Canis lupus familiaris: one gene and its partners. The protein of the gene in region 1 purifies or fractionates together with the protein of each later gene. This does not show direct contact. Links are inferred from orthologs where the notes say so. Each region holds a gene or a part of one and is shown in the gene's direction. Other genes may lie near its edges.

What was found. Proteins that work in one complex are often made in the same cells at the same time.
Region 2: the proteins of SLC7A1 (region 1) and HS2ST1 purify together in Homo sapiens (co-immunoprecipitation; 3 studies listed by BioGRID and IntAct, counting the BioPlex papers as one, with this or other methods). This does not show direct contact. The link is inferred for Canis lupus familiaris from reciprocal best matches to the Homo sapiens genes SLC7A1 and HS2ST1.
Region 3: the proteins of SLC7A1 (region 1) and STX4 purify together in Homo sapiens (co-immunoprecipitation; 3 studies listed by BioGRID and IntAct, counting the BioPlex papers as one, with this or other methods). This does not show direct contact. The link is inferred for Canis lupus familiaris from reciprocal best matches to the Homo sapiens genes SLC7A1 and STX4.

Annotation. Positions count from the first base shown.
Region 1 is NC_049246.1:10,397,561-10,402,787, forward strand, and holds part of SLC7A1 (high affinity cationic amino acid transporter 1), read left to right. Parts: intron 1-824; coding exon 825-983; intron 984-2,794; coding exon 2,795-2,969; intron 2,970-5,227. UniProt on the Homo sapiens protein: High-affinity, low capacity permease involved in the transport of the cationic amino acids (arginine, lysine and ornithine) in non-hepatic tissues.
Region 2 is NC_049227.1:61,661,912-61,667,138, reverse strand, and holds part of HS2ST1 (heparan sulfate 2-O-sulfotransferase 1), read left to right. Parts: intron 1-1,203; coding exon 1,204-1,361; intron 1,362-2,736; coding exon 2,737-2,966; 3' UTR 2,967-5,227. UniProt on the Homo sapiens protein: Catalyzes the transfer of a sulfo group from 3'-phospho-5'-adenylyl sulfate (PAPS) to the 2-OH position of iduronic acid (IdoA) or glucuronic acid (GlcA) within the heparan sulfate (HS) chain and participates in HS biosynthesis.
Region 3 is NC_049227.1:17,344,772-17,349,373, reverse strand, and holds the end of STX4 (syntaxin-4), read left to right. Parts: intron 1-654; coding exon 655-763; intron 764-835; coding exon 836-912; intron 913-1,148; coding exon 1,149-1,286; intron 1,287-2,206; coding exon 2,207-2,317; intron 2,318-2,409; coding exon 2,410-2,490; 3' UTR 2,491-2,508; intron 2,509-2,603; 3' UTR 2,604-2,863; downstream 2,864-4,602. UniProt on the Homo sapiens protein: Plasma membrane t-SNARE that mediates docking of transport vesicles. Necessary for the translocation of SLC2A4 from intracellular vesicles to the plasma membrane.

The DNA of each region.
Region 1 (5,227 bases):
TTGAAAATAAAGGAGAATGCTGTATGTGAATATTGGAATTTTAGTGACATTTCATTGAAAAGCAGTGGCTTTATTCAGGTTAAAAGAAAGAATGTGTGTAGTTAACAGTTACTGGCATTTGAGGTGCTGCATTTGTTTGTGATCCTTATGCCGGGGGATGCAGGGTATGGAGAGGAGGAGAGCTGGGCTGTGTCCGTGGTCAGATACCCGGGCACCTGTGGCCTCTGAGTCAGGTGACACCAGCTCTGGGATGAGCAGGTGACTTTGTTGCTGAGGTGAGGGTTACACGTGTGAATCTCCTTGGTCTCATCTTACTCGAAGAACAGTGTTCCTCTGGTGGGTGGGGACCATCAGCTCTGTTGTCGGTCGGAGGGATCTTGGAAAAGAAGCTTCCTGAGCCAGGTGTTTCAATCTGCCGACTGCAGCCGTGAGCAGATTACAATATCAACTTCGTGGTTTGCCGCCAACATTTCTTTTAATAACGAAATAAAATAGGTGGAGTTGAATAAATACCATCAGAGTACTTCTCAGGTGACAAGGGTAATGGCACTGTTTTGTAAACTGTTTACTATTCAGTTGTATATTTGGAACACAGTACACGTGTCCTTATTGGGTCATGATGGAAAGTGTGTTTCTGTCTGGGTCCATGAGACCTCCGCATCCTTGTCACCACCCTGAAGGACCTAATGGAGCATCACTTCTGAGCTAGCACACACCAGAGTCCACCATGCCCCAGTGCATCATCCATGACCCTCGCACACTCACTACCAAATACTGTTCATGGTTTCCCTTCAGTTTCCTCTGGTGCGTCTGTCTCGTGGCAGGTACTTCAAGTGTAGCAAGAGCCTGGAGTGCGACATTTGATGAGCTGATTGGCAAACCCATTGCGGAGTTCTCGCGGACGCACATGGCTCTGAATGCCCCTGGAGTGCTGGCCGAAAACCCAGACATATTTGCTGTGATCATCATTCTCATCTTAACAGGTAAAGCTACACAGTGGGACACATCCAGTTGGAGTGAGAGGCCTGAGGTGTGTGGGACAGGTTTCCATGAGGCCTGTTTCTTCCTTTCCTTGTTCTGCTTTCCCCTCCTTTTCTTTCTTTCTGTAACGAATGCAGACATCTTGTTTGTCTTAACGGCTTCTCATACACACAGCGTTGGCGCGTTGGTTAGCTGTCAAAGCCGTGTGCCAGTTATTTAAGAAAGAGTCTCAGGTACTTGTGTAGCTTTTTGTGGAGTGGGAATTTGCTAATACTGCAGGCTTTTTGTACAAGTGACCCAGGAATACGAATTCCCTTGACTCAGTGGAAGACTGTCTGGAAAAGAAAGTGGCATTCCTCAGCGGGTAAGAGGTGGGGGATGAAGTCAGTCCATGGCACCAGTTTGTGCCTGGGGGTTGGAGAAGTCTTGAATGATTTTACATCTAATAGCCATCAAAATGCTTCTTTAAAAAGAAGTAAGTTTCATGACAGTCGTGGGCACAGACTTTTAAAATTCCAGATATTGCTTAAACACGGCTGAAGGCAGCTATTTCCTAGTGATGTTTTTCTGGGTCTCAGCCTCAAGGTTGTGTGTTTTGTTCCATGTGGCACTTACTGTATAAGCATTAAGCTGAACACAGATAAATTCCCCTTTGAGATTAGAAGATCTTGGATGGGTTTTAAAAACAATATGCCTTATTTTCCGCACCGTAATTGAAATCATCTAGCACAGGCCAGTCTCAGCAGTATTTCTGGTCCAGTTGGCAGGAACGTGTATCAGAAATGAAGTTTGCACCAGTGAGATTTTCATAAACATGAGAGGGAGGGATGCCAGAGAGAAACCCGAGCACAGCATGATGAGGTGATCCCTGTGATAAATTGCTCAATTCCCTTCTTGTGCCTTCATTTCAGAATTGACTCTATTGTGAAATGCATTTTTTTTTATTTTGAGTGTATGAAAGGTGTACCTGGCAGGGCAGCAGTCTTAAGTCATAAGTGGTAGTCTACCTGTCACCTGGAGTCCAAGCCTCTTTTCCTCCCCAGCCTGGGGTTTGGCCACACATGTCCCCAAATGGCATGTTTATCCCATTGTGGTCATGTGGCTAAGCCTCAGTGACAGTGTTGTCATGTGGCTTCCATGTGTTTTTATCACTTGGGTCTTTTTGATTTTTTTCATGTGAGTTTATGATCTATAACTAGTCTAACTTAGACATTGTTTTAAGTGCGCCAAGTCCGAGATGAACCACACGGTTCGTGGTTCTTCCATAATCACAGGAAGTTGTTGTTGCTAATACCATAAACATTGCAGAGTGAATCTGAATAATTTTCTCATCTGAAAAACCCTCATTCTGTCAAGAAACTGAGTAAAATGTCTCCTTTTTGGAGAAAAAAATTCCTGCCTCCTCAGAGGAGTCCAGGAAAGTATGTTAATGAGGAGGAGAGGGTGCTAGGAGGGGCCTCCTCTCTGTCCTTGGGAGGGGCTTGCCCTCCGGGTGGTTGGCAGTGGTATCCCCCATCTCTGCTGTCCTTTGGTGCCCCCTGGGTGGCACCCTGAACTCCAGAGGGACCTGCAAGGCCAACGTTGGTAGCTTTGTGAACTACCGCCTGAACTTCAGTTATTTTGATCCGGGCTAGAAAGAGTATTAATTCAGTCCCATTCCCAGAGGCTCACAGAAATCTTAGGAGGTTTGGTGCCACTTGGATTCTTCCTAAGTCACCCTCTCCTGGGATCCCTGTCCCTGTCCCAGGAAGGACTTACCTGGCACAAAGTTCACACTCTCAGGCAAAATTTTCCTGTTTGTGTGCTTTTTCAGGACTTTTAACTCTCGGTGTGAAAGAATCGGCCATGGTCAACAAAATATTTACTTGTGTCAATGTTCTGGTCTTGGGCTTCATTATGGTGTCAGGATTTGTGAAAGGATCAATTAAAAACTGGCAACTCACAGAGGAGGATTTCCAGAACTCATCCAGTAATCTCTGCTTGAACAAGTGAGTTGTTTTTTCTTCCTCTCGGCCTATAACAGCTGATGCGTATTTGGTACTTAATGACATACACCTGTATTGGGGGCCTGTAATTGGCCAGAATAGTACGTGCCTTTTTAAAAAATAAAATTTGAATTTGAATTCTTTTGTGGTAAAATAGGTGAGGGTGGTGAGGGTGTTTTTTTGGTTTGAAATTTGTGTTAAGTTTAATTTCCCTGAACTCGACAGAACATTGTATGATAAAGGAAGATATTCAGGAAAACAGAATCTTCATTCTAATTCCAAAACTGTATGTAGTTGAAGATCATTGTCAGACTCACTAATCTGTTTTTCCTCATAATTGTTTCATGACCCACCTCTGAATTTTATATTCAGAAAAGATTATGTCTGCAAAACTATGGTGATATCACTTGATTTTGAAATGCCTTCCTATTAGTAACATAGAGGGAAGAAGAAATACATGGAACTTTTATCACAGGCTTTTATTAAAGGTTTTCACAATTAGTGAAGTATCAGAATGTGATTGTAATAGTTTCTTTCTCCTACCTTCGACTTGGGGTACATCAGCCCTGAAAACCAGCAGCCCAATTTCCCTTATGTTCTCTGACTCAAGACTCTTGGGATTGGAGGCAGGTGACAGGCCAGCCCTTGGACCTGTGCTGTTTTAGGACCTCCAGTGAAGCCTCGTCAACAAGCTGAGATTATCTAGGAAACAAGAGCCAAACAATTAAAATGTATCTTTTTGATCTTTTGTAATTTTTCAGGGGAATCTTAGGGTCTTAGGATGGAGAAGGGGGAGTGAGATTTTTGTCTATGGTTCTATTTTGATTATGACCAAAGGTTAAACAGCTCTGATAAGGAGACCCTCCTGAAATGCAGTGATTTTAAAACGATGTCTTGACATGAGCAGACCAAGTTGACTGGCCAGCATGGCTGCACACAGGCTTTCAGGGACCCTGACCGTCCACCTGGTTGCTCCATCCTGCCCTAAGATGGTGTCCTCTTCTGCATGGTCAGAGCTGGGCTGTGGGCGTGGGCAAGATCCAGCCCTCCCGGAGAGGAAAAGAGGGTATGGGAAAGAGTGTGCCCAGTCCTTTCAAGGGCAGATCCAGAAGATGCCTTTCCCTTCTGCCAACATCCCACTGGTGAAAATCCAGTAGGTGGCCATATCTAGCCGCAAAGGAGACTGAGAAACAAGGTCCCACACTGGGGATCCCACTGGTCACACGTGAACTTGGTCATTGGGCAGGCATTGATGTGTGACTAGTTCACTACTAGAACACAAGCAGGAAGCTGTTGAATGCATGAAATATTATGTGGTTAACAGTTCAAATAAAAAGAGCCTGCCTTTTGGAGACTAAACTATTACAGGGAAATGAGGGCTTTTAATTTTTTTTTAAGTAAACTCTATGCCCAATAGAGTGGGGCTTGAACTCGTGACCCCAACATCAAGAGTTGCATGCTCTACTGACTGAGCCAGCCAGGTGCCCCTGAGAAAAGAAGATTTTTAATGTAGCATTCCTAAGCATTCCTGGGTCATATTTATGCCAAATTTATTGATGCTCATTATCTCAGGGTAGAGTAAAGCCAGTTCAAAATAAGCTTGGAAATAACATTAGATTTTGAAAACCTGGGGTGACTGTCTTGCTGGTGGCTGTTTATAGATCAGGAATTAAATATAAATGGCATGTCTTGTTTCTTAGTTGTCGATCAAGATTGAATTTTATTGTTTTTATGAAGATATTGTTTATGTTAGCCAATGGTATTTACTGTCATTGGTTGTCCTCATACTTTGTGTCCTGGTGAGATGAACTGTACTGCCTTCAGCCCCAGGAGCACTGCCTCCGAGGTAGAATGCTGCAAGTCTGGAGCATAGCTTGCTCTTTCATTTTATTAAAGCCTATAAACTGCTTTCTCTCGTTTTTTTTTTTTTTAACCCCTCAGCCATAGATTTGTGTTTCCAACCACGGCCATGTAGTCTTGCGTGAAATTGCTTGTCTCTCTGAAATAATAGAGTATTTCCCAACCAAACCACACAGCATGGAGGAGCTTCAGCCTGCATGGCTTTGGTGGCAGTTCTGAGCACTTTGGATTGTGATTTTATGATACTCTCTCCAAGACTGGCTGTAAACACCTCCATGAACCTGTGACTGAGTTGGTGTCTTGGTCTGGAATAGAAATGTTATCTGACAGTTTGGCTGGTTCCCTCTGGCCTTCAACTTATGCTACCTCTGGCTTTCTTATCCAGAGTCCTGTGGATTTGT
Region 2 (5,227 bases), on another chromosome or scaffold:
GTACTAGTCAAGGGCTAGATATAGGGCATTTAGTGAAAGACCGGATTAAAAATAGCATGTAATTAAATCTCTAGTTTTATAGTTACCTTTAAGTGCATAGAAAAGATTCTTCATACATCATATCCTTGCAGTCTTTTCACAGATGCTGGTTTTTAATTTATTGTTTTTGGTATTACCATGTTTTGCTATATTCCAGCAGAGCTCTTAATTAGAGGCCAGGGGTCATTTCATAAACCTCATTTTCTCCTAAGCTTATTGTTTTAGCCACTCATTTTAGATCAAGAAAAGGCTTAGTGAGTACATTATTCACCTGGTTTTACTGTTAACTGATTTTTTTACCTTGAGAAAAGCCAAGGTTATGGTTTAGTCTGCTAATAAACGTGAGGTGGAAAATAAATTTTATCTTTAATGAAGAGTTTATTTCCTCTGAATGTGCAGAGTTTTCAGTTTTTAAAAAATAGTACATGTTTATATATATTTATTTGTTCTAATCATTTTAATAGGAAAAGCAGAAAGAGGAACACATTCAAAGTTAGTATTTCTTCCTTAAAACCATGATGAGAAATGCAAGGAATGCCTTCTTTTCCTCGTTATATGAAACATGTTATTAGATCATTGTGAACTGTAAGGTCCTACTCAGTAGACTATATCAGATCATAATAACAGCATAAAAAGAATTGGAATCATAGGAAGAACATCTCAATTTTTAATCATTTCCTTAGAACAGGGATTGGCAAATTACAACCTGGAGACCAAATTTGGCCAATCACCTGTTTTTTATAAATAAAGTTTTATTGGAACACAGCCATCTCCATTTATTTACTTCTTGTCTATGACTGTATTCATGCTGCAAGAGCAATGTTAAATATTTGTAACCAAGAACATATGGCCTGCAAAACCTAAGATATTTACTCTCTGGCACTTAACAAGAAAAAGTTTGCCAATCCCCGCCTTAGAGCAATAAAAGGGTACTGCTCTTTTGGACGTTAGTGAGGTGATTTTAATTGAACTTCTTTAGTATGTTTCATAGATTCATAGAACTGGGAAGGACCTTCAACTCCCCTCCCACCAAAGACATTAATAAAAGGGCATTAAGATTTTGGATGGACATGTGCTTATTTTCTCCATAGTATATAGTGTCAGAGGCATCAAAAATACTTAGATTTCACAGCTAGGTTTTTAATTCCTTTTCTTTGGTTTTAGGAATGTGGGAAGCAGGTGGGCTATGGATCAAGCCAAGTATAACCTAATTAATGAATACTTTCTGGTGGGAGTTACTGAAGAACTTGAAGATTTTATCATGTTGCTGGAGGCTGCTTTGCCCCGGTTCTTCAGGGGTGCTACAGAACTCTACCGTACAGGTATATAAAGGATAGGTTTCTTGTTAAAGCTGTCTTTAACTTTGTTTGTTTGGAACCTGAAAAATATGTGGGATTTGATGTTTCTTGAGTAACTCAAAGCACAAGAAATAACTGCATAAAGGAATGTATATTGCCTGTTTCTTCTTAACCATTTTCAATACAGAACAGTGCCTGGCACACAGCTGGTGTTCATTAAATATTTTTTGAGCAAATAAACATGATAGTTAGAAGGCATTGTAGGGATAGTGGAAAGATATGATCTGCAGAACCAGCCTTAGTTAGAAATGTGTAATATTAGCTAATGCCAGACACCAAACATTATGACCATATTGCACCTGAGTCCTGCCTAATGCTGTTTAGAGTAAGGATGGGATGGTGAGACTGAGTCCCACCCATGATGATCAGCATGTGCTGTGTCTGTCCTGGTGAAATGTGCTTCAGCAGCCTCGACTGTATGACATATCTGGAAGTGACAGGGCTCTAATCCAATCTAATGTGGATTTTTCCCCCGTTCTTTGGTAAGGTACAATATAGTAACTCTTCCTAGAGTATGCATATGCCCTACCTTCTAACAGGTTATGGTAAATTAGTATTAAGTTTGAAAGTAGAGATTCTATCATATTGAAAAATTAAACTAGTCAGAGCACCAAGTATTTGAGATTAGAACAGTATAGCATGAAAGGCGACAGCCTGCGCTTTACTGAGTGGTAATCCTTACTTTTAGTATTTGACATCTCATTGTTTTTTTTTTTTTTTTTTTTTTTTTTAAGATTGTATTTATTTATTCATGAGAGACACAGAGAGAGACGCAGAGACATAGGCAGAGAAAGAAGCAGGCTTCTTGCAGGGAGCCCAATGTGGGACTCGATCCCAGGACCCCGGGATCATGACCTGAGCCAAACACAGACACACTCAACCACTGAGCCACCCAGACATCCCTCATTAAGTCTTTAACAGGTTAAGGATTTACACTATAAAAGAATAAATCACAGTTTTAGGGGTGCTTGGGTGGCTCAGTCGGTTGAGTGTTTGACTCTTGGTTTTGGCTCAGGTCATGATCTCATGGGTCCTGGGACTTGAGCCACAAGTTGGGCTCCTCACTCAGCAGGGAGCCTACTTGAAAGATTCTCTCCCACTGCACCCTCCCCCCCCATGCTCACTTACTCTCTCTCAAAATAAATAAATCTTTTTTTTTTTTAAATGATATTTCTAGTATGATTAGGGTACCAGTTTTGCCTGAATGATATTAATGCAAAAACAGTTGTTAATGGCCTTCAGTGTGCCACATCAACTCAATCCATCTCTCCACATAAAGAAGCATCGCTCTTTTGGGTGTTCTCAGAATTATTCACCTTTTCTTTTTTTCCTTTGTAAGTAGGAAAGAAATCTCATCTTAGGAAAACCACAGAGAAGAAACTCCCAACTAAACAAACCATTGCGAAACTACAGCAATCTGACATTTGGAAAATGGAGAATGAGTTCTATGAATTTGCGCTAGAGCAGTTCCAGTTCATCAGAGCCCACGCTGTACGGGAAAAAGACGGAGACCTCTACATCCTCGCACAAAACTTTTTCTATGAAAAGATTTACCCGAAATCGAACTGAGTGCCAGGTGTGACTGTTAGGTTCTTGAACTAAAACCTTGACCCTGTCTTCACCTTAGTACTCAGCTCCACAAGTTGGGTTGGGGATCGGTGTATAAGACCATGTGTATTGAGCCACGTTAGGGGGCAGTAACACGGAGGAAGTGGATACTGGCTGGTAAGTTTCAGTGGCCTAAGAGGTTTAAGTTTCTGCCTTTTTTTTTTCTTTTTTTCTTTCTTTCTTTTTTCCTTTTTCTCCCCCCACCCCCCAGTTAAATTTTGGTGGGAGTTATAATTTCCTGCCTGGAAAAAGCCTACACATCACCAAAAATAAACACATAGCAGGTCTCATTGGAGGCTAAATACAATTTCAAAAAAAGTTCTGGTATTCTCTTTTTGATAAAGCTTTTTGTTTTTTTCACCTAACCATGAATGAAGATGAATCCATTTGCTCCTTCCACCTTCACCTGGAGGTTTGGGTTATACACCTCTACTGAATAGTGTTACTAACTGTTTGGCAGTGTGTGCTTTGTTTCTGTGAATCATGTCTCATGAAATTTATTGGAATGTTTGATACTGTTTGCTAAGAATGTTTCTGCTATAGTTGGAATTGCCCATATTTATGTAGGTTGTTTGAATATTCTTAAAAAAAAAAAAACCAAACCTGATCATTAGTGTTAAAAACCAATTTTAAAAGAGAGCAGTATTTCTCATTCCTGTCTCCCCTGTCTCTAAGACTGGGAAGACACTTCAAAGAATGTTGACACTTTCTGGAATTTTAGTTAAGGCTTCCACACATTAATATCAAAAAAGTAAGTTTAGTACGTTCCTCCATGGGTTATTTGTAGAGCGGCAAACTGACATATTTGACTCCATATTATGACTCATTAGTGAGCTGTGGTATGGGTAGGATTTCCCTACTTCTGTACTTTTACTTGTAGACTATTTTTACTAAGGTGCTTTATAATGTGTTTTAAAGCATTGCATTTACAAAAAAAAAGAAAGGAAAATGCTGTAAATATTGCATATTTTATGTATTTGGACCAAAAGGTTATAAGTAATTAGGTAAAAGTGGTTTTGCACCAGTTTTATTATTTCAAGTAAAATCATCAGACCTACTGTTCTTGTAGTTCTCGTTTAACTTTACTGTTAAGACATCACTGAAATGAACTTCAGTAACCTTTCAATTTTGATACACAGTACATTATTCATAATTGGGGGCAGTAGTCAGAGTGGAAAGAGTACTGGCCAAGGAGTCAGAAAATTTGATTTCTGGTCCCGGCTCTGCCACTTTTCAGCTGTGTGATCTTGGGCAAGTCACTTAACCTCTCTTTGCCTCAATTTCCTCATCTTGAAATGAGGAGACTAATACCTGCTGTACCTACCTCACAGGGGTGTTGTGAGGAATAAACAAGACGGCACGTGAAGGCACTTTGAAAACTGTTAACGCGATCTAGAAAAGTAAGGGATGATGGAAACATCTTTCATGTATGGTTCCATGACGTTCATTTCTTTTTTTGGGGGGGAGGACAAAGAAAGGGAAAAGTCCACTTCTAAGCTGGTTGGAAAAGTGGTTAATCTTGATATAAATTTATGTTTGATAAATATCTTCCATGTTGTATCTTCCCTGTTTCAACAACTTTGGAAATATGAAACACCTGTGAACTCTTAAAGATTCATGAACAGCTGCTTGAGTTCAGGAGGTTTGAGTTCTTGAAAAAGACTTCGTTAGCTGACTCAGGGCAGGGGAAATGTACTCTTCAAATTTGGGAGATTTGTCTGTTTTTATTTTACATTACCATTGAGAAATGGTAGCTATTTTATACCTCTGGGTTGTCAAGGTATATATCGCAGAGTTTAATTTCCCTGTACCGTCTTACCCTTCATAGAGTAACAGAGGTGAAGAATTTCAGAAACATTTCCTAAAAAATTTAATCTTTAAACTAAACTGTGTTTAGTTTAAATAAATACTGTTTCTGAACAAGGCCTCACCAAACTAGTAAACAAGTAAACATTTTAGGCAAGCTGCTGTAAAGGTTATTAATGGTAGGGGGGTGGAGGGAGCACTACTTATCAATCCATAAACAAATATAAAGAAAAGCTAAAAAGGAAGTTTCCAGAATCATTTAGCACCCTTTTCTCCCAGCAATTAGACAACATTAAGAGAACACTGACAAGCATATAGTTTCCTTATCTGGCTTTCTGCTTTTTTTGTGTATTTATTAACTTTTACGGATATTTATGGGAAATTTATACAAATTATTCCCTTGCCCAAAAGGAAAA
Region 3 (4,602 bases), on another chromosome or scaffold:
AGAAAGGCAGAAACACAGGCAGAGGGAGAAGCAGGCTCCATGCAGGGAGCCCAACATGGGACTCGATCCCAGGTCCCCAGGATCACACCCTGGGCCAAAGGCGGCGCCAAACCACTGAGCCACCCGGGCTGCCCAGACGGTAGTTAAGTATTAAGGGAAAAACTGAGGAGAAGAGGATTGAGAGTGACGGGAGAAGGCAGGTTGCAGTTTTAATAAGGTAGAGAAAACTTCATTCAGAAGGTGACATTGGAATAAAGATTTAAAGGCCTCTGTGAATAAATAAATAAATAAATAAATAAATAAATAAATGTATGTATGTATGTCTCTGTGAGGCATGAGTATTCTAGGCCCAAAGAGCAGTGAATGCCAAAGCCTGAAGTAGGGGTGGCTTTGGTGGGGGGAGGAAGGAGTCCACTGTGGTCAGAGGGTGCGAGTGAGGCAACAGCTGGAGGACATAAAGTCAGAGGGGAAATGGGGAAGGGAAGGTCCAATAGGGCCTTATAAGCCCTAGTAAAGGCTTTGGCTTTGACCTTGAGAGAATGGTGGTCAAGGCAGCAGGCTCCTAGAACAGCTTATGCTGTTTGCTCCCTATACTTATGGGGATGTTAAGGCCAAATCCTTCCGGGGTGCCCAGCCTATATTTTCTATCATCAGCATGGGGTCCTGTCCCAGCAATTCGTGGAGCTCATCAACAAGTGCAACTTGATGCAGTCCGAGTACCGGGAGAAGAATGTGGAGCGGATTCGGAGGCAGCTGAAGATCAGTGAGTTGTGGTGTCTGGCCTACAGGGTCAGGTAACCTGACCCAGCTCTGAGCCTGACCTTTTCCTTCACAGCAAATGCTGGAATGGTGTCTGATGAGGAGCTGGAGCAGATGCTGGACAGTGGGCAAAGCGAGGTGTTTGTATCCAATGTGAGTGGTCATGGCTAGCCTCCCTCTTCTGGGACTCTCATCTTCGCTGAGGCCTGGTCCCCTTTGATTGAGGGAATACAGAGGCCTGGAAGGGAATGACTTAGCATGCCTAGGGTCGCTCATCAAGGTCCTGGCCCCAGTTCTAAGCCTGAGGGCTGCCTGAAAGCTCAACAGGAACTTCTGATCTGCTGCTGGATTCCCTGTGACCTGTCTGGCCATTCCTATCTGCTCCCCAGATCCTGAAGGACACGCAGGTGACTCGACAGGCCCTAAATGAGATCTCAGCCCGGCACAGTGAGATACAGCAGCTTGAACGCAGCATCCGTGAACTTCATGAGATTTTCACTTTCCTGGCTACAGAAGTGGAGATGCAGGTGGGCAAGACAGCTGGCTGGGCTTGATGTGAGACCGTGTTCAGTCAGAAACCCCACTGTGTCTGTCAGTCCATCTCCACTCTCTAGCCTCTCTCCCCGAGGCTTTCATCCCCCTCCAGGCTGGGCCATGCCCCCAGGCTGGCCCTCACTCCCATCTGTAGCTGAGCCCCAGAATTGCTTCCACCTCCACATTACACAGATGGCCACTCCTCTACACTCACCATCTTACCCTGTCTCCCAGTTGAGCTACCCAGGATGTAGCCCAACTCTGGCTCCTCCTCCACCAATAGAATCCACCCTTATACCTCTAAGAGTTCTACTCAAAGATGCTCCTTAGGGGGCATGCCTCCACAGATCTGAATGAGGTTGGGGTGGGAGGTGGTGTTCTTCTGCTGCCCCCGTTGTGTGAGGTGAGGTAAGCTGCCGGCCTCTAGTGCTGCAGCCAATGCCCTTGTGCAGCTGGGATTCATGGGGAAGGCATTTCATTCAGTAGGAGTACCAGGACCTGAAGGCTGGCAGTGCCATGAGGAGGCAGGGTTGGGGAGGGCTTCACAGCTGTTGAGAGGCAAGCCTAGAAGAATGAGCAAATTCAGACAGATTTACAAAGAGACAGAAGTTCACCCTCTGTGACAAGGTATGAGCTTCTTAAGGCGCTTGGCTCCAAGCCACCACTGCAAATGAAGGTTGTAGGGGGTAAGGGAGCAGGGCAGAAGGGACTACATAATAAAAGGGATCCTGGAAGCCACCCTCAGGAGTGTGCACTTTGGTCAGATGTGGTCCTACCCCCACACCTTTGTTAGTGCTGCATTTCCTGCCAGAAAATGTCCTTTAGGCAGCTAGTGTGAGCAAGCAGAGGAGCTGATGGGCTCTCCACCCCCAGTCATCCCTACCTGCCTGAACTGTCCCCCTCCTCTGAGCAGGGGGAGATGATCAACCGGATTGAGAAGAACATCCTGAGCTCAGCAGACTATGTGGAACGCGGGCAGGAACATGTCAAGATTGCCCTGGAGAACCAGAAGAAGGCTCGGAAGGTGAGCCTTGACACCCCTTCCCTCCCCTCTAGTCTGAGGCCCTGGTTGCCTTCCCTCCCCTTCTGAGTTTGTTTCCCTGAACTCTCCCACAGAAGAAAGTCTTGATCGCCATTTGTGTGTCTGTCACTGTCGTCATTCTGGCAGTCATCATTGGTATCGCCACATTGGTTTGAGAGCATTGCACATTCTTGGTGAGCTATTGTGGGCCTGCCCCCTGGCCTGCCTCGTCCTGGGCCCCTGCCTTTCCTCCTCCCCTCAGACCCTCTTCTCCCTCCTTCCCTTACAGGCTCTAAGAACACCGGGGACCCGGGTCCGCCTTCTCTCCCAGCAGCTGAGGGGGGAGGGCAGGACAGAGCCTCCAACTGGACCCCCTTCCTCACACTGGCCCTGTGCAGAGGGGCAGACAGTTCTTCTGGGGTTGGCAGCCACTCATTCATGGGGGCTTCTCCACTCAGGCCACAATGCCTGGGGGAAGGCCTGCAGCGTCCTGTTTGGCTGGGACACATGGTTTTGTAAGAAAGTAAAAAAAGACAAACAGAAAAATGAGCTTGGAGACTGCCCCGTGCATGTATGTTCCTAGAAGAGCTGGCCCAGGGCCTCTACGTAGGCGGCCTCCTCTTTCCGTGGCCATCTTTGGGGCCAGGCCCATCCGAGGAAGACTCAGATCAGACTGTTCAGGTGCTGTGACCACAGCAGGCTAGCACTGCCCTTCTACTCTCCCTTAGGAACAGGTGGGCAGGGAGGGGCTAACACCCACATCTGGCTCAGTATTGTCCTTGGGGAAGGATTACTGTGAGTACCTAACCCCAAAGCAGTGAAGCTGGGCCTGGTAGGCTGGGACATAGGTGAGGTGTGTGTGGGCATCCATCGGCCTTCCTGAGGCCACGAGGCACCGTTGAGTAATGGAGGCTGTTACTCCAGATACAGTGAACAGGGAAAGTCCTGTCTCAGAAAGGGTGACATTTCAGTGGGCTGTTAAATGAGGAGGAGCCAGTTATGAGAAGAAGCAGGGGGAGAGGCTGCAGGGCAGAGCCCAGAAAAAGGCATAGCCTTTGACATAAGAGTTTAGCTTAAAGCACTGGGGACTCCGGATCAACACACCTGGCTTCTAGGGAGTTAGGTGGCTGAAGCAGTAGAGGTGACAGAGGAGCCTGACCCTTGGTTTCTAAGAGCTCTGGGCCCCAACTCTAAATTTCTAAGAGTTCCGAGTCCAGAAGCCTAGCTTCCAGAGCTGGGTGTGGCACCTGTCGCCAGACACCTGGTTTCAAGGGGTAAGCTAGCTCCTGGCTCCGAAGCTTGGTTGGAGTGGAGCAGCGCCTGACCCCAATCAAGTCCTGGAGGCCGGGTTCCAGCTGCCACAGCCCATCCCGCTTTCGATCCCACAGGCCCCTGCTGCTGCTGTCGTCGCTGCTACTCCAAGCTGCCCTTGCCTGGGCCGTCGGGCCAAAGTACCACACATGTGGGTGCTGGGTGACGCGAATCATAGAAGGGGTGGACGCGATGCCCTGGGTGCAGTCTCGGACCCAGCCCCTGGACCTGCGGGGGGGAGGGCAGGAGCCAGAGGACGGGATTAGGCTCCAGAGACCCCTGCCTGCTTTGCCTCCACCCATCTGGGCGTCCTCCTGCAGCGCCTCCCAGTGGGCTTAGAGCGACCCTCGCCTGGCAGTTGCAAGGCGCCTGCGCCAGGTCCGAGGGTCCGCTTTGCCCCGCGTGTAGGGGGCGTGGCCTGGCCGCAAGTGGAACACGATTGGGCGCGCTAGTAAACGCCGCCTCTGAGGAGCAGCGGGATTGGTCCCTAGGACGTCCAGGGACCTCCTGGGGGAGTGAGGAGTGGCTATTCAGCCGCAAGCCTCCCTGAACTGACGTGGGAGGAGCCTCGGCGAGTCCTCAGTCGCACCCACAAGTGATTGGATCGCAGGGCGAAGCACGACCAAACCTCTAAAGGAGGCGGAGGCGGCACTGGCTTGTGAGAGTCTGGCGGGGGTAGGTGAGTCAGGGACTTCACCGGAGAAGGCGTGGCTGGGTCCCCCTCCCTAGCCGCCGAGCTTGGCAGCTGGGAGGGTACCCACGCCTTCGTCACGGGCGTGGGTACCCTGGGATCCTGTGTACAGATGAAGCCCTAGATACCTACAGGAAAGAGCTCCTCATTCTCCCCAGTGTGCAAACACAATCTGGATGTGCGCTCGAGGGGAAAACTGCTGGGCGGCACAGATCCTGCCCCCGTAAAACATTGATTTGAGTACGGGGCTTCTGGGCTTCCCTGAATCTCCAGCTCTCCCCCCTGC